Oryzias latipes: one gene and its partners. The protein of the gene in region 5 purifies or fractionates together with the protein of the main gene of each other region. This does not show direct contact. Links are inferred from orthologs where the notes say so. Each region holds a gene or a part of one and is shown on either strand. Other genes may lie near its edges. The genes, in order: usp1, usp12, Na(+)/H(+) exchange regulatory cofactor NHE-RF1, usp46 and phlpp2.

What was found.
Region 1: the proteins of phlpp2 (region 5) and usp1 purify together in Homo sapiens (affinity purification with mass spectrometry; 3 studies listed by BioGRID and IntAct, with this or other methods). This does not show direct contact. The link is inferred for Oryzias latipes from reciprocal best matches to the Homo sapiens genes PHLPP2 and USP1.
Region 2: the proteins of phlpp2 (region 5) and usp12 purify together in Homo sapiens (affinity purification with mass spectrometry; 3 studies listed by BioGRID and IntAct, with this or other methods). This does not show direct contact. The link is inferred for Oryzias latipes from reciprocal best matches to the Homo sapiens genes PHLPP2 and USP12.
Region 3: the proteins of phlpp2 (region 5) and Na(+)/H(+) exchange regulatory cofactor NHE-RF1 purify together in Homo sapiens (co-immunoprecipitation; 3 studies listed by BioGRID and IntAct, with this or other methods). This does not show direct contact. The link is inferred for Oryzias latipes from reciprocal best matches to the Homo sapiens genes PHLPP2 and NHERF1.
Region 4: the proteins of phlpp2 (region 5) and usp46 purify together in Homo sapiens (affinity purification with mass spectrometry; 4 studies listed by BioGRID and IntAct, counting the BioPlex papers as one, with this or other methods). This does not show direct contact. The link is inferred for Oryzias latipes from reciprocal best matches to the Homo sapiens genes PHLPP2 and USP46.

The regions. Positions count from the first base shown.
Region 1 is NC_019862.2:16,397,678-16,400,257, reverse strand, and holds part of usp1 (ubiquitin carboxyl-terminal hydrolase 1), read left to right. Parts: intron 1-970; coding exon 971-1,072; intron 1,073-1,236; coding exon 1,237-1,418; intron 1,419-1,532; coding exon 1,533-2,170; intron 2,171-2,273; coding exon 2,274-2,432; intron 2,433-2,556; coding exon 2,557-2,580. UniProt on the Homo sapiens protein: Negative regulator of DNA damage repair which specifically deubiquitinates monoubiquitinated FANCD2. Also involved in PCNA-mediated translesion synthesis (TLS) by deubiquitinating monoubiquitinated PCNA.
Region 2 is NC_019878.2:17,506,761-17,510,277, forward strand, and holds part of usp12 (ubiquitin carboxyl-terminal hydrolase 12), read left to right. Parts: intron 1-60; coding exon 61-296; intron 297-430; coding exon 431-507; intron 508-1,105; coding exon 1,106-1,189; intron 1,190-1,259; coding exon 1,260-1,457; intron 1,458-3,517. UniProt on the Homo sapiens protein: Deubiquitinating enzyme that plays various roles in the regulation of the immune response and inflammation.
Region 3 is NC_019877.2:24,330,273-24,334,520, reverse strand, and holds the start of Na(+)/H(+) exchange regulatory cofactor NHE-RF1, read left to right. Parts: upstream 1-1,434; 5' UTR 1,435-1,531; coding exon 1,532-2,002; intron 2,003-4,248. UniProt on the Homo sapiens protein: Scaffold protein that connects plasma membrane proteins with members of the ezrin/moesin/radixin family and thereby helps to link them to the actin cytoskeleton and to regulate their surface expression. Necessary for recycling of internalized ADRB2.
Region 4 is NC_019862.2:999,732-1,003,248, reverse strand, and holds part of usp46 (ubiquitin carboxyl-terminal hydrolase 46), read right to left. Parts: intron 2,218-3,517; coding exon 2,004-2,217; intron 1-2,003. UniProt on the Homo sapiens protein: Deubiquitinating enzyme that plays a role in behavior, possibly by regulating GABA action. May act by mediating the deubiquitination of GAD1/GAD67.
Region 5 is NC_019861.2:21,093,652-21,097,961, reverse strand, and holds the start of phlpp2 (PH domain leucine-rich repeat-containing protein phosphatase 2), read left to right. Parts: upstream 1-1,507; 5' UTR 1,508-1,840; coding exon 1,841-2,047; intron 2,048-4,310. UniProt on the Homo sapiens protein: Protein phosphatase involved in regulation of Akt and PKC signaling.

The DNA of each region.
Region 1 (2,580 bases), on a different chromosome or scaffold from region 5:
TCTTTTTTAGGACCAGCAAGTCCTTAATGGAGAGTCAAACTAGGGGTTTGAATGAAAAATCATGATGCTCCAATTAGTCTTAGTTTCTTGATAAAGAAGTGAATAACTAGCTGCCAGAATGCACCAGAATGCATCTAAGACCACGTATTTTTCCAAAATTTCGCTCTGTGCCCGCCATATCGCTCAAAGAAAAGTTCAGGGATTTTTTCCTTACCTGACTTTCATCACTGTAAAATAAACAAGCCCACAAACTGAACTGTGTTTTGTGCGAGTCCAATTGGTTCACCAGTTCTTAATTTTTTTTTACCCCTTGTATGTCTTCTGTTGTTTAATGTCCTATAAAGAATTTTTTGTTTTCCCGACACTAGTGCCCATCTAGCAGGCTGAAAAATGGCCTTCCTAAAACCCCAAAATGTCTTTCAAACTGAAAAAGCTGTGTTTATGTCGGAGCAGAGTATAGCTCGAGATAAGCGGCTGCTTCACATAGTTGCCGTGGCGCCCTGCATGTCCATGTTTCCTCGCTGGTTTATCTGCAAAAGCAGTGTTTGGATGTGAGGAGAGTGACAGTGGACACTGGCTCTGCTGCAGTTAAACACCTGTTCAGACAGATATGGGACTTCCTGATTGGTGGACGAGATGAGAGACATTTACTTAGTTATTTTTAAGAAATAGGATAAAAAAGTCTGCCTTTTTCATCATTCTGCTGACTCAGTTTTATATTTTTATGATTTTGAACATGGAATATGTTGTTTCATTATGATTGGCTAACCTTTTTTTAATTAGTAAAAATAAAAGATGAACAAAAATATAATATTGTAACATTTCTGTTTATAAACTTGAAAAACCTTTGAACTCTGCCTCAATTGCGTCTTAAAATACTGGATGTGTTCTATAAAATGAATGCAATCCTTTAAGATAGGAAAGGGTCAAAGGTTAAAGTGTGCGTGCTCATGTTAAGCTGTTTGTGCAGGTTCTCCATTATTGCCCGGGCTTCAGAGAAGGTATAAAGACGCTCTATGATCTGTCCAAATGTCAGGAGAATCCAAAGGAAGGGGCAGTTGAAAGTGAGAAGGTTGGTCAACAGTAAAGTGTATTAGAACACAGAAATCTGACATTTGTGAATTAAGCTTTTATGTTAAAATGTAAAAGTACACAAACGTTTTTAGGAGTTGTTTGTAAAAAAAAAAATGCAATTTCTTTAATGTGATCATTTTTTTCATGCCTTCATCCCCTCAGACACAATCTAAGTCGTCAGATTGTTCTTCTGAGCCTCTGCCGGCTGCCGTTGAGCTCCTGGGAAGCCTCAACAGTCTGATAACATCTGTAGAGGAGCGGCAGTCCAACTTCCTGCTCAACCCTGAGAGCTTCTCTGAAGGAGAGCTGGCCACTCCGCCCTGTACAGTTCTGCATACGCTCAGGTGAGGCTTCCACATGGTATCCCAGTCATTGCATTGCAGTGAGAGCCAGCACCCATGTTTTCCCGATTGAAGGAGAAAGAGGAGATCCCAACGGATCCATGTTCTGTTTTGCAGGCAGCTGAACCCCATGTATGAAGGCCACCTCCAACATGATGCTCAGGAGGTTCTGCAGTGCATATTGGGATACATCCAGGAGGCCTGTGACACCATCAGAAAGGAACGTGAGGAAGAAAGTGAAACCGATGTTGGAAAAGTGAATATGGGGAACGACAGCTGCTCTGAGGCCCAATCCACACTAAACACTGAGGAAGACGGTCAAGTCACCGGCAAGAGGAAGAGTGACACAGAGGTGGGAAACGTGAAGAAGAAGCCCAAGTCTGGCAAATCTAAGAAAGGAGAAACTGGAGAGGAAAACAACACAAGCAAACCCTTCACTCGCTCCAAGAGGAAGTCCTCCAGTGACACGACGTTCACTCAAAATAAGACCGGAGCGGAGGTCAAAGAGGGGGGAAACGAAGAGGAGAAAGACCAAAAGCAACCTAAAACCATGGATGGGAAGCGGAAGAAGAGAACGAAGCTGAGCTGGCTGAGAGCGTCTGGGAAGCAGCCCGGAATTTTCTCGAAGTTCTGCAGCGTTGGAAAGATCAGCTCCACAACAGGAAAGAACAACAAGGCAGAGCAGGAGAACCAACAGAGGGACAAGGAAAACGAATCTCCACCAACTGAACACAAGAACACAGAGAAACATAAAGGTTTGTTTGGGGAACCATTTGAAGTCTGGAGAGGAAACCATGTTTTAACTGATTAACCCAAAGCAGCGCTCACAACTGAGCCATGTATTCTTGTTTGCTTCAGGGAGTCTGGGCCTGATGGAGCGGCTGTTCCAGGGCCAGCTAGTTCTGAGGACTCGATGTCTGGAATGTGAGAGCTTCACGGAGAGAAGGGAAGACTTCCATGACATCAGCGTCCCAGTGCTGGATGACCAAGCCAGCAGCCCAGACGACTTCTCAGAGGGTGAGTTTCTACAGCCGGTTTCAGGGCTGTGACAAGTTCAGGCGTCTCCTGGAGGTTCTTCCCCTTTATCAGCCGTGAATAGAAAAGTAAGGAAGAAGGGGAGTCGATGGTTTTTCTTCTTCAGTCTCTCCAGAGCCTAAACCCGAGC
Region 2 (3,517 bases), on a different chromosome or scaffold from region 5:
GTCTTCAGGATGTAGATTACAAATGATCCTGTTGTAACGGCTTAATCTGTTACATTTCAGAGCTGTTTGACAATTACATGCAGCAGGATGCCCACGAGTTCCTGAATTATCTCCTCAACACTATTGCTGACCTGCTTCAAGAGGAAAGGAAGCAGGAGAAGACCAATGGCCGCCTTGCCAATGGGACATTGGACTCCCAGAATAACAACAGCAATGCTACGCCTGCACCCACCTGGGTCCATGAGATCTTCCAAGGCACTCTGACCAATGAAACCCGCTGCCTCACCTGTGAAACAGTGAGCTACATCAGCTTTTTGTTAAGTTGCACTATCCTGTTTGCTAAAGTTAAAAAAAAGGGTTAATTTAATCTAATTAGACTAATATTTTTCAAGTTCAGTTGCATGTGTCTGAAAATATTTTTTCTGCTCAGATAAGCAGCAAGGATGAGGATTTTCTGGATCTTTCTGTGGATGTAGAACAGAATACCTCCATCACTCACTGTCTCAGGTAAAGAAAACTTGTTGAATGCATATCACTTCCTCATTTTTGTCTCGACAATAACTTTTGTCAGTTAAAGTGCAATCGTAGACTGAATTTGGGCAGTTCTTATAAAAAGCTTTTCACAAGTTAAAGCAGCGAATAAAAGTGACTTGTAAAATATTTTGTTTATTGATGGATGGAGCTGATTCCTCAGCATGATGTCAGCCTTGTGTTGAAAAAGTGCTCAGCTCAGCTGGGATGAACTGTGGCAGCCGTGGACCCATTAAACCCGGCTGTCTCGGGGAAAGTTTGTAAAACCATCAAGTGACAGAATGATGTGTGTGTTGGCAGCAATTTTTTAACCTTTCATCACGTTGGCTCTGCAAAGAAAAGAAAAAATCAGTCCACCAAGGCTGCAGTGATGATATTTACTGCTGAAGCAGAAGAGGCCTGTGCATGACGCTGAATCCCAAACTTGGCTAGTATTACTGCTAAATGATGTTCATAGAGGTCGTGGGAAAGTTGCTTAGTTTTAGACGATTAATGTCTAATTAGAGCTTCATAAATGAGCTCGTATTACATAACATTTTATAGCATGCATTAACCTTTTTCCTTTATCTGTCAGGGGTTTCAGTAACACGGAGACGCTCTGCAGTGAGTACAAATACTACTGTGAAGAATGTAGAAGCAAGCAGGAGGCACACAAGAGGTGAGCGCTTCAAGATTCTTGCACGCATACGTTGGGCACTAATTCCCTTTTTGTGTCATTTTGTTCTTAGGATGCGTGTCAAAAAGCTGCCGATGATCCTGGCTCTGCATCTAAAGCGCTTTAAGTACATGGAGCAGCTGCAGCGCTACACCAAACTGTCCTATCGGGTCGTCTTCCCCCTGGAACTGCGCCTCTTCAACACGTCAGGAGACGCCACCAATCCTGAGAGGCTTTACGATCTGGTCGCAGTTGTGGTACATTGTGGGAGGTATGTATGTGGAGAAACAGGCATCAGCATCATATTATCCCCAGATATGAAAACGAATTACTTTCTTACAAAGTATTTAATTTTTTGACAGCCTAACTGCCATTTTGGGGTACGTGCTGATGATTATTGACACAGAAAACACATGGAATCACTGGCACATTACAATCTTTATCAGACAAACATCTTAAGGAATCAACTTTTAAACCTCATAAGATGTATGTCCTTTACTAAAAAAATGATTTAAAATGAATTTTTTAAATAACTATTAACATTTTTATTTTCAGAAGACATTGGACTCATAAATGATTGTTGCAAAACTCTCATCATTAGATTATCACTTCCTGAAATCAATGACATCATATTAAAAAAGAAAAAGAAGGGAAGAAAAGTAGTGAGCGTTGTGTCCAAATTGCTTTTAAAATCTAGGGCACTACATAGTCCCGCACTATATAGTTTTTTAGGAGTTAAGGATCAGGGTGGGAATTCGGACACAGCTCATGACTTCCATCACCAATCGTCAATGCAATCAATCATGTCCCGGTAGCCAATGGGCTCAGAGCGTAATAGTACATTAAGGACTGAAAAATCAAAATTTAAAAACACAAGACGGTATCTGTTACAAATAAATATACATATTTTTTTATTTCGTTGTAAATATTCAAAAAGTCTTTTAAGTTTACTAGCCGTCCACGGGGCTTTGTTTTGGCTCTGCTATCGTGTTTGTGCAGCGTGAATAAATAGTTCGCAGAGTCTTGGTCAGAAATCTACTGGTAAAGATGTTAACTTGTAGTTCCACAGTAACCCAAAATGTTGCTGCCAGTTTATCCATGTTGTTTTGTCCTTGTTAGCCTACAGTGTTTTTTTTGTTTGCTTTTTGTCAAATGTTAGTATTTTTTTCTTAAAGTTAAATGATATTTTTTCACATAAAAAAGTTTGAATTTCAATTTTTCAATAATTTTCTAAAATATAATATATATATATATATATATATATATATATATATATATATATATATATATATATATATATATATATATATATATATATATATATATATATATATATATATATATATATATATATATATATATATATATATATATATATATATATATATATATATATATATATATATATATTTTTTTTTTTAACTTGTCCTGTCCAACAGCTGGGCAGTCACATGAGAGCTGAGGGCCTCTTGGGTTGGACATATTTTACTTTAACAAGAGGGGTTATTAATCTTCAGACAAACCAAAGGTATGTCTGAATAAACCCCTTTTGTAATTGAGGCCAAACTTTATTAATTTCAAACATGTCTGAAAATCTTTGGTGTTGGACCGGACGGAAAAGGAAAGAGGGGAAGAAGAGAGAGGGACGTTAGAGAGAGGGGGGGTAGGGGGTGATAATAGAAGGGGAAGGGGGATAAGACCATGAAGCAGCATAAAGCAACAAGTTTACTGGTTGTTAGCAGGAAGTAGCAGAGATTGGAAAGGATGAGGTTAGGAAGGCTCTGAAAAGGATCAAGAGCGGAAAGGCCGTTGGTCCTGATGACGTACCTGTGGAGGTATGGAAGTGCTTAGGAGAGACAGCAGTGGAATTTCTAACGAGGTTGTTCAATAGGATTTTAGAGAGTGAGAAGATGCCTGAGGAATGGAGGAGAAGCGTTCTGGTTCCGATCTTTAAGAACAAGGGTGACACGCAGAACTGCAGCAACTATAGAGGAATAAAGTTGATGAGCCACACAATGAAGCTGTGGGAAAGAGTAGTGGAAGCCAGGCTTAGGAAGAAGGTGGAGATTTGTGAGCAGCAGTATGGTTTCATGCCCCGTAAGAGCACCACTGATGCCATTTTTGCTTTGAGAATGTTGATGGAAAAGTACAGAGAAGGTCAGAAGGAGCTGCATTGTGTGTTGGTAGATTTAGAGAAGGCGTATGACAGGGTGCCGATGGAGGAGCTGTGGTACTGTATGAGGTCGTCTGGAGTGGCAGAGAAGTATGTCAGAGTAGTTCAGGACATGTATGAGAGAAGTATGACGGTGGTGAGATGTGCTGTAGGTCAGA
Region 3 (4,248 bases), on a different chromosome or scaffold from region 5:
GTAACCGTCTCGCAGCATGTCTCCGCCATACCAAAGTAATCGAGTAGAAAGTGCTGCACCTGACGTGAATACAGACGTTTAAAATTCAGGACTCGATTTGGACCAAATTAAACTGACCCAGTCTGAACCAGCAATCCTTTCCAGTCTGAATACACCCTCAGTCCATCAGTCAGACTCCAACTCTCCAACATGGAAAGACTAAAGATCTTTCAGTGGATTAAAGGAAGAAGACCTGCACCCGACCAGAATGGACTACAAAACCATCAGCAACAAGCTGGAGGTTAAGGTGACAACTGTTAGTGCAGATGTGTGAGAATACAAGAATTACAACATGACCATCATTCCACCTAGGTCTTGAAAATTAAATTGGATTTGGTTAAAGACCCACTCCAATGAAAGTGGTGTTTTTAACATGTTCTCGTAGCATTTTTCTCACAGTGGACGACATACATAAACGAATTTAAGATTAAAACTGCATTTCTGAGTCCCTTGTTTTCATCTTTCAAATGGTGATGTTTAGCAGATGAAAACCTGCCTTTTTTGAAAAAGCTCTCAGTTGTGATGCAAAACTGAGATGGGCGGGCGAGCCCCCACCCCCTTTCTGCTCCATTCTGATGCACTTGCAGACAAATAGATCCAAGTATACTTTTTTTTCCTCATTCATACCGTTCAAAACTGTAGCTGCAATATTGCTCGCCATTTTTATTGTGCCACCAATATTAGCTAGGAGTCGGGAGGGGCTTTAGACTAGCGGGAGAGAGTGTATGCAAAGGGATGATGGGGAATCAGTGGAGGCTTACTTCCACACCAACAGTCAGAGGTAAATTCTGATAAAGAGAATGTGTCGTAAAAAACAATGCAGGTTTTTATTTGGGTTAAAAACTGTAAAATCATTATTAAAAGAACCCTGAGAACAATTTCCAACATATAAAATACTTGAAAAACTGGAACTTTATAAATCTTAAAAGATTATAATAATATAATAATATATATAAAGATGGGGATAATATAAAGAAAGTGTGAAATGACTAATCTTTTTTTTTTTACCACATGACAAATGCTTGTTTAAAGCAGCTGAGCTAGTCTGGTTTAGCTGAGAAAATGTTAAAAAAAATAATAATAAAAGTATAAAAGTACTTTCTCGTTATTACGAGAAGCTGTTCCAAAAAATATTTTTCGCAGTGGCAGCTCAGAGCTTCCGTATAAAAGCGTCTATAATGAAAGAATAAAACTAGAATGTTAGTGAGAGTCATCTTATTTTGAAATTAAGTCAGTTAAGGAAATTGACACGGCACTTCCGGTGAGGGGGTGGCGCGCGCTCGAAAGGGGAGGGGACAGAAGCTCTCCAAGCCGGGGGGGGGGGGGGGGGGGGGCGTGGGCGGGGCCAGACTGTGGGCGGGCCCGCCGCGTGCCTCAAGAAAACTTTAACAGCTGAAACTTTTGACGTGACTCAGTTTAGCGGAAGTTGCGGAGTGGCGCGCGGCAGGCGGCTCGTTTTCGGCTCCAAAGGTGTCTGCTGTCAGAAACAAAGATGTCCCACCTTCGCCCCAGACTGTGCTTGATGGAGAAGGGAGTCGCCGGGTACGGGTTCCACCTGCACGGGGATAAAGGCAAGAGCGGGCAGTTCATCCGGCTCGTGGAGCCCGACACCCCCGCCTCCGCCGCCGGGCTGCTCGCCGGAGACCGGCTGATGTTCGTGAACGGGGAGAACGTGGAGGGCGAGAGCCACCAGCAGGTGGTCTCCCGGATACGAGCGACCAGCGGCGCCCTGGAGCTTATCGTGGTGGACGACGAGACGGCGGAGCTGCTGAAGAAGCACAACCTGCAATGCCGGAGAGAGTTCGTCACCGAGGGGATCCCCGTGCCCGGCCGGGACAGCGACTCGGACCGCGGGGACGCCCAGAGCAACGGCACCCCGAGGGAGGCGAGCCCGCTGCCGCACGAGAACGGGGACGCGTCCTCGGAGAGGTCGGGGAGGCTGAGCATCACCTCCAGCAACAAGGTGTGTGATCAAGAAAGTTCCAAACGCTTCAAAACTTCAGAAGTCACGTGTTGTTTCAGATTAAATTAATCCGAGGTTGATCAATTGAGCACGTGACTAACCTGTCCTCCCAGTTTTTATTGATTTTAAATGAAATGTTTCGGGGATGAAGTTTCTGACTTGGACGACAGAGCAGCCAGCCAGCCAGCCAGCCAGCCAGCCAGCCAGCCAGCCAGCCAGCCAGCCAGCCAGCCAGCCAGCCAGCCAGCCAGCCAGCCAGTCAGCCAGCCAGCCAGTCAGCCAGTCAGCCAGTCAGCCTCTTCCTCCCGAGTGACCTTGTGCTCATGAGCACAGCATGCAGATTATAACCAGCCGGTGTCCTGGGGATCTTTCCGGATTATTGCCAGAGAGAGTTTCCATGGAAGAGGCTGATAGGTGGAGACTGTGCTCAGTTTTTATTCATTGATCTGTTTTCGAAGCAGTGCTCTTTCAGTTAGGAGGCTGTGTTGTTTTCCAGGACATAGTTTCTGCAGAGCAGCAGCAGTTCAATAGAAATTCACCTCTGAGTTGTGGCCCACCCAGATTATTTTCTACGTCACAAATGAAAGCATTTGTTTTTTATCTGTTCCTGTTTCACAGCGATTTGTCATTTTTAGCCTCATTTACTTCATAAATGCCGTCTATCGTGAGACAAATGACCCAAAAACATGTTACAAACACAGAAAAGTGGGTCCTTAAGACGCAGGAGCAGCGCAAATAATACAAAAAATGAAATGTTTTAAAAACCCATAAATTCTACAAGACTTTCTTCTATGGAAAATTTCCAGAAGTGATCCACCTTAAGAAGTTGGTTACATCATCAGAGGATAATTCAGTTCTTATCTTTAGCAGAGATAAGAAGACTTTAAAGGCCGGCACAGCTCGGGCTAAACTTCACTTAGATCATCATTAAGTAATTGAATATTCCACTCTGTGCTTCATCAGCATTTTATTAGTTTTTTCCTGTTTCTATTCTTAGTTTTTAATGGACAAACACGGGACTCCTGCTGTTTTTTGGGGGATGAATAGATGCAGAACATTCCACTCTTCTGTACAATCATTCAACACTAAAACATCAAATTATCACAACAACAATTAAAACAGCAAGACAAGGAATAAAAAAACAATTACATTTTAGAAATCACAACAAAAGTAACACTGCATATGATTATCCAATCAGTGACGTCCCATAGTGAATCCATTTCATGTTTGTTTTTGAAAATAACATTTCTATTTGTGGAAACTACTTTTTGTCCCAAATTGTTGCTTTTTTGTGTTTTGGTTTCTGGAATTTTGTTCTGATTTCTAAAACTTAAGCTTGTTTTCTTTAAAAGCTGACATCTTACTAATCCATCCTCCAATATTTAGGGAGAGTTTGATCACCAGAGTGGTTATGTTGTCATTTACATTTATAGAAATGTTTACAAAAGATCCGTACCAACGTTTTACACATATGTAAAGTTCGTAAGTAACCTCATTGTTTTGTCTTTTTCAGTCATTGTCCCAGAGAGGCTTTCCCTCCAAAATAATTGAAGTTAAATTCTCCCATAAATGTGCAGATTTACTGGTGTGTGTTTAAAATGTCGACTCATTTGCGTTTAAACAAAACAAACGTCTTGTAGGCTGGCTTTGTCTCTCAATGCTCGCCATCAAACTCTTGTATCTGCTGCTGTCACGTCTCCTCTTTGCTGGTTTATAGATGCACTCACTTTACTTTCTGCCTTGGCCTCCGGTCTCCTGTCAGAGCATCAGTCATGTGACCAACACTAGACGGCGTGAACTGGTCTGCTATCCTGATTCGACAGAGGCTTGTGTGGGTCTTACACTTTGACTTTACAAAACCTAATTTAGTCTTTTTGTAAAATCCCTTTAATGGGGGGAGTCTTTTTTTTCCTCCATTCTTCTCTGTGGATTTTGTTCCAGATAAAAGCAGAATTTCTGTTTGGCGATGCCTGTGAGTCATACGTCACATGACTGATTTGGAAAATAATCCTGTCATTTCACCTGTTGTGATTGATCAGAACAAAGCCCAGGCAGGTCTGGTGAAGTTATCTGCTGTTACAGGAAAAAAAAACGAGTTTGTCTCATTTCACCCTTCAATACCAAACGTGTCACAGGCGACAGCGGATGACACGCGTGTTTTGATCTACCGTAATGTCAGAATGTTTCAGAATGAAAGGGTTAAACGTACTTTGATTGCTGAGACCATCACATTCTCATTTCATGTT
Region 4 (3,517 bases), on a different chromosome or scaffold from region 5:
GTTTTTGTTTTTGCTCCAACGTCACGTCACAAAAATATCACGAGAAAGGGGTGCGAGCAAAAAGGCGGCAACCTAAGCTAACGCAGCTGCAAATTTGGTACTGCGCTGACTGTGAGCCGCCCTGATGACTGCAAATAAATGCATTGTGGGAAACGGTGTCCAGACAGTTCTTGTAGTTTAAAGTGATCCATTGAAATCCATTAAAAAACCTATTGTTAAGAAATAGGCTACATACGTTACAAAACATTAAAATAAAAAGGAAAGTAAGGAACTCCTCCTGGTCCGGGGAGGGGGGGGGGGGGGGGGCTGTCAGGTTTCCCTAAATGTTCTCCTGCTTTCAAGCCTGGTCAATGTCACGCCCCCAAGAGTCATATACTATACTGTTATTGGTTGGTTTGTCAGCTCCGCACACAACACTGAAATACTGTCATTCATAAAAAACTGGCGGGACGCACTAACATTACACTTTCATATTAAGGTGGGGGCCTCCAAATATCGTCTTGGGGGCCGCAAATAGCCCGCGGGCCGCGAGTTTGAGACCCCTGCTTTGTCGGACAGCCCCTGAGGCTCTCCGGCAGGCTGTTCCACAGGCGAGGACCATAATGGCAGAACGAAGGCTCACCATAAGTTTAGGTCTTTAAAATTCCTAAGTTTGGGTAAAATCATCTCTCTCTCGTCTTCAGGACCAATGATTAAAAGTTTTGTCCTGGTTGAGCTGTAGGAAGTTTTCTGCCTTTCACGACTAGAGTGTTAATAGGTTCAAGGTCATCAGGAGATACAGCATTGTAAAGTTGTGTATCATCAGCATAGCTGTGAAAGTCAATGCCGTGTCTCCTGATGACATCACCAATAGGAAACATATAAAAGTTAAACAGTGTAGAACCAAATTCGACCCGTTGGGGAACCCCACAACTTAATTCATGGATTCCTGAAGACCATGTATCCATACTTACATAAAAGTGTTGGTCTGTAAGGTAAGAATAAAACCACTTATGAACATTTCCAGAGAGGCCCACTAGACTCCTACGTCTGTCCAATCAACTGTATCTAAGATCCAGCAGCACCAGAACAGAAAGTTTCTGTGAGTCTAATTTGTTTCTAATATCATAAAGTAAGGGATAATGTGCATCATCAGAAAATAAACGTATGCGGTGGAAGCCAGAGAACGGTTGCTTCTGCAAAGTATGTTGATGCTGATACTGCAGACTTCAAAGGTCATTAACCTGCTTACGGTACACTATGGTCACTCACAAAAGAAATGAAGATTTAGTTTTTAGTATTTTCTTCTTGTTGTTTTGTCAGTTTAGATCGCTTTTTTCCACAAAAAGCGGACTATTTATGACGTTGTGTGGCACATTGTCATGGTAACATGACAACGGGCGGAGCCTGTACCGACCTCAACAGCTGCGGCAAAGGAAAGTATCTGTGCTGATGGTCATGATGTGTTAAATAAAGCATCAGTTCAGAGAGAAAGTTCACCTCTTACCGCTTGTTTTTGTCCAAATGATGAAGATAAAGGTTGTTTTAAACAAGTGATACAAAACATTTAAGCTAGGTGACCGGAACTACTTTTTTAGGTGTACACTATCACTGTGGATTATCACTGTTTAGTGCACACCCAGCAGCCAATGAGTATTCACCCAGACCGCGGTATAACGATCTTTAAAAGAGACGTCTCTGTTCTGTGGTTTGTCCTAAAACCAGACTGTTATTTTTCTAAAATGTTTTGCTGCATTTAAAATCTCATGTAGTTGATTAGCAACACTTTTCTCTATAAGTTTACTTAAAATTGTGAGTTGAATTCAGATCTGCAGTAATCAGAGTATTTGGATCTAAAAGACTCTTCACCACTGAAGAAGAGTGTTCAGACTTCTAATGGGAATGTCAACCTGCTTCCCAGTTTTCCCTGGAGTTTCTCACGTCCAGCCAAACTGAGACCTTGAAAGTTCCACCAAAGCAGAAGAGGAATTTCGTGGAGAAGAGCGTGGACGTTGCCCTCTCACCGTTCTCCTTCCGCAGTCGGGAGATGAACTTCTTGGGTGGAATGACGCCCACCTTCTTCTTCTGTGTGGCAATGGAGTGGAAGAGGTCGGCCAGACACGTGAGCAGGTTCTCCTTCTTCTTCTGCTGAGCTTTGTAGGCCAGCACGTTCTCCCGGAAAGGCCGGCAGAAGTAGAGCGCCTGCAGCACGGAGTTACAGTAACACGTGTTTCCAAACTGAGGAGGACAAGGGCACACCAGTTACTTTATAAAAATACCTACTTTTCTGAGCCCCAGCAAACAGAACGCAGAAGAATGAATCTGTAGGCATCACACCGAAGATGATAAAGAAAAACGACATTTCTGCTTTTTTAATATGAGGTCACGATTCCAGGTCAGATGGAGAGTCTTTAACACCACAGCTTTGGCTATGAGGTGCCGTGTAGGACATTATTCAGAATTAGCATTCACATACACATGTGAAATCTCTCACACACACTAGTGAAATGCTTGTATACATACAACTGAAAATGTATTCATTCACATACACATGTGAAATCTCTCACATACACATGTCAAATCTCTCACATACACATGTGAAATGCTCTCACACACACTACTGAAATGCTCTCACACACACTACTGAAATGCTCTCACACACACTACTGAAATCCTCTCACACACACTACTGAAATCCTCTCACACACACTACTGAAATCCTCTCACACACACTACTGAAATCCTCTCACACACACTACTGAAATTTTCGACAGAAACGGAAGGCATTTCAGTAGAAACGGATGTTGGCTGATTATCGCGAGATAATCATTCGTCTGAATCATTCGAAAATGGCAGCCGGTTGCGCAAGGAAAACCACCGAAACGTGTAAGTATATTAAAAAATATCCAGTATCTGTTGTAAAATATATTTGTAAATACTTAAGATGATGTGTTTAATATGTTATATTCCTCAATCAACAACCTAGATTGTTTTGAAGCTCATCAATTTCAGTAATGCTAAAGCTAACGCGAATTAGCGCCGAAGGCTAAAAACAAACGCTAGATATTACATCAAAAAGCAGTGACTTCTAACCGTAGTCACAAGTTATTAACACATGTTTTAAATGTGTTCATATATGTAGGGACAGACGAGGATGAGGAAAATCCGATCCATTTGCAGATGGAGAAAGATAGCCTGTTTGTTTTCAAGCTAGCTCGTGCCAGATGGGTAGAGACATATGATCAGATTTGACTTCATTTTAATAAACGGTTAATCGTTGTCGTACTGGGTTAAAGGTTTATGTTAAAGACCCAGAAGAGAGAGGAGGAAAGGGCTAGAAGGGAGGAACAGCGACAGGAGAGTCTGTTAAGTTTACTTGAGTTGAAATTATTGTTCTAAAGTGTAATGCAGCCATTGTTTTTCCAATTTGTTTAATAAATGTATGAACAAAAATGAATAATTTACATGTATTATTTAAATCTGAGCTATTTTTAACAATCTTAAAAGGATTTTCATATAAATATCAGATGTACATATT
Region 5 (4,310 bases):
ATTTGCTTCTTTTGTTTGGATGAAGCCATTGTGTAAAGGGCTTGGAAGAGCATCTGTCTCCCTGTTTGTTAAGAAATAATTTAATCCACTGTGTTTTGAAAACCTGATCGGTGTCCCGCCCCCTCCAACACTTATCCTGGCTGAAAAGAAAAAGATATCCAAATTATTTTTGGGGTTGGCAAAGGCATGAGGTTCACTTTTTTTCTTGTCACCTTTGACAAACCAGTTTTTCGGTTCCATGGCTTCAAGGAGTGAATGAATGTCGGACTGAAAGTATGAACTTATTAAAGATGAGAAGCTGTAAAATATTAAATGGGATATTTTCAATTTATGCTGTGTATTCTTGTCTTTGGGTTGGAGAAAATGATCAAGCAAATAAAAAGTCAAATAAAAGTGGAGTTCAATGATAGAACTGTTGTTCTTAGTTTGGTGTGTGGTGGCTTTTTTATTAATTTTATCATGCGGAGTCATGGCTGCACTTGCATTTATCAGTAAGTCCTGATTCATTCAACAAGTTTGCAAAAACAAACTAACAATATGTTTGTAAAAAGCCAAAAAATAACATCTGAAACTTTCTGTTATCCAATCATGGTATAGCTTCTTTTTTAAATTCTCTATTACATATAAAACAAGTTTAAATGAAATAAAAATTATTTTTACAATTACTTTAAATTCTATTAGATTTTATCAGTGAGCAATATTTTGTCTTTACACCCTGTTAGACATTGCCTCAACACAACAACCCTGCCACCTTAAGTGTCTTGGATGCTTTATATTTGTCAGCAATAACGACTGTTTACAATAGATTTATGTCTTGAACTTATTGCTTTTTTCATTCCATATCTTCAAATTAACGTGCGACCAAAATATGCAGAGTTAGGTTTATTAAAGTCCCACTTAAATCATCTTTGGATCTATTTTAAAAGCATTTCCAGTAATTATTAGATTAGAATTATGCTGGGTTTAGCCCAAATAAAGTGTAGTTTTCTACTACAGTTCCTGCATGGCAGCTGTAGTTTATTAGAAATTCACCTGAGTTGTGGGTGGGACTGTTGGTGCAGAGTAAGACCACCCTACCTTCCCATCATCCTCTTCTTTACACTTTCTCCTGCTTGTTTACAAACTCCTCAACCTAACATTAGCAGTGCAACAAATATGGTTAGCAATATTGGAGCTATCCAGCCGTACAGTTTTAAGCCAGACGCAAACTCAGAAGAGGAAAATTAATATGCTAATGGATCTATTTGTCTGCAAGTGGATGCATCGGAATGGAATGGAGCGGAGCACAGAGCTTGTGGCCTGTCATAGGCTCACACCTACAGGCTTTCCCCAACTGCATTCTTTCATCTGCTCCTGATTCACAACGATTTAAATTAAGACATACTCATAAATACAATTTTAGGCTTAAGTTTTCTTTATAATTGTCCTCCATCATGGGAAAATTGTAGCTAGAACATGTAAAAAAACACCATATTCAGAGTGCGTATGTAAACCAGTTTAGTATATTTTATTGTTGCTGAATCTAATAGCAATTTTTGTTCTAAGTTTTTTATTTTATTTTGAAAGCTGTGTTTATTTAAAGCCCCTTAAACTGCGCATGCCAACAGATATTCCCATAAAAACGATTTGCGCTCATAATGTCCGCGATCCTAGCCCCGCCCATGTCCGCGCGCCTGGCCCCGCCTATGTCATGTTTATTGAGCAGCCCTCTGCAGGCCTGTGCGGCTCCAGTCGCATCAGTCGGGACATGGCGTCTCTGCGCGGACGCGGGATGCTGTTTCGTCTCTCCGTGGGAATCGGTCAGCCGCTCGCCTTCTGGACCTCATAACCGGAATCCCACATGACGATGGAGGACGAGGACGGCAGCGCGGCGCTCTCCACCCGCAACATCCAACAGAAGCAGGCAGGGGGTGTCGGAGGGAACGGGGCTTGCATCGACAGGCAGCCGGACACGGTGGTCCACCAGGCGGGGCTCAACCACACCACTGGTCGCGGCAGCCGCAGCGGTCCCGGGGCTCATTCCGCGACCGGGATCCGAGTGCTAAAGGCAAGTCCCACCGTGACCGACCCGTGATGCTGCGCGTGAACCACGGAGTGCTGAAAACATGCCTTTATGGCGCTGAAAGACGGAAACGGAGCAAAGTGCAGGCGATGAATGCCTATTATGTAACGGCGTGTGTGTCAAGTGTGCTGATCTCCATTCATTGAGAGGTAAAGTCACAGCAGCCAGAAAGCAGGCAGACCTGTCATGTCGAGGCCTTCTGCCGGACACCTGAGAAGATGACAGCCAGCCTGACAGTGCACATTACTCACATATTACATCCAGAATAAGTAGTATTATACCGTCATTATGTTTTCAGGTAAATGTATTTTCCCCAAAGTGTAACCAGTTTCACATCATTTGCACGTTATATTGATGCGTTTGCCACTATGCAGTGAAGTTTTGCATTAGACAGCAAGACTCGCCACACCTGGAAGGGAGCAGTTGCAAGAATATCAATGATTACCTTTTTTCTTCTTGCCAAGATTTTCATGTTTCCCCCCTGCAACAGGTGTGACATTCAAACTCTGCTCCTGCTGTCATTGAATTATGTGCCTCTGTTGAAAAGCTCAAACAGAGGAGAGACCTTAAAAGTAAAATTAAATCCACATTTATTTACATTTTTAAGTTTAATGTTCTTAAAATGAAAAAATACTAAAATGGAATATAAATCAATAATCAGATTATAAGTGTTAGAAATAGTCAGTTCTTATCAATTGCAACAACATATACATGAAACTAGTCATTTTAGTCTAGTTTTTTCTTTTAGGAATGTCATACTAATTTAGTGAAATTTGCTTTGTGCATTTACATTTGTGCATATGGCATTTACCTGCAGCACAAATATAACTGCAAAGTGACAAAGTCCTCCTGGTTATTTGTTTTTCACCAGTTTCTAGTCCCCATAACCTCTAAAGAACCAATCAGACTGCTTAGATTGGAATGCTCTGCAAATATTTTACTTAAAAACCTGACTGCTGGGCCTCCTCTGTGAGGAAGCGTCTGTGTCAAAGCTGCACGTTTTTTTCCGTGTTGTGTTACTACAACAAAAAAAGAGACCTCCTGCCATGGACATGAGCTCTTTCATGGAGCTCCTCAGACGCTTATCCACTTCAACATTTGTTGTTATATGAAAACATGACCCTAGGGGTAGATAGGACTAGGTATCACTGCCAAACAGTTGATTCTGGATTCACAAGTTCATCATGGTAGAATTTCCATTTCAACTCAATTCAGTACTAGTTTATAGTTTCAAATGTGCATTCTGGTAATGAAAAAGCAGGGGGGGAAAATCAGGAACTTTTGTTGATAAAATGATGAATTCTAATATTAGAAACTAACAGAGAAGCTGGGTTTTACTTGAAAAAAAGCAACAAAATGGATTTAACAGAAAACCAATAGATTTGATAAATACATTTAGAGTTTTATAAGTAAAGAATAACTTAATTATTCTAAATTTCAAACCCAGCTCTATATCCTAAACCATATAATGTCACATTAGATTGTAATTTGTCATTTTTCTTCTAGGAAGACTGAGGATACACGAAGACTATTGTTTGAGCCACTTGACCATCCTATTTTTTATTGCATAATTTCAAAAGTGTCCTAAAAGGTGAAGTTTGATACCCTTCTGATGTCTTTAAGTGTTAATGTAATTATTCATTTTTTTTCCCAGTTTATCAGAAAATAATTGATTTTATTTTGGCCTGCACAATAAATCACAAGATTATCATTATGGCGGTATCAAATTGTGTAATACACATATTGCAAAATATGGCGAAAATTGCAATAAATGCTAACCTTAAATATGCTAAAACAATCTTATGGCAGCTTAGAGATTTAATGAATCAAATAAATCCATTTATGCATTTGACCAATCGGATGGAGCCCTTTTAGATGCTGGCCTCCTATGCAAATGAGGGTCATTTAGACTAGAGTATAATTTAAGCGATGTTGACTCTAAATGAAACTGTTGCAGTGAAATGGAGATTATGTTTTTTGTTGTTTTGCTATTTGTTCATGTATCACAAGTTTTATTGCCATCGCAATATTGATCATTAATATCCCAAATGGCAGGTTTTCCTTATATCATGCAGCCCTAATTTTAGTGATAAATGCCAGAATCAAAGGACCTGAAATGAATCATTTGCAAGATCATCTTTGGTTTAAAATGACTGGACTTTACACAAGGAACTGCAGGTGGAAAAGCACAGACTTTCAGTGGACGGTTTAATTTCATGCAAGAAAGTGTTTTTTTTTTTTATGGTGG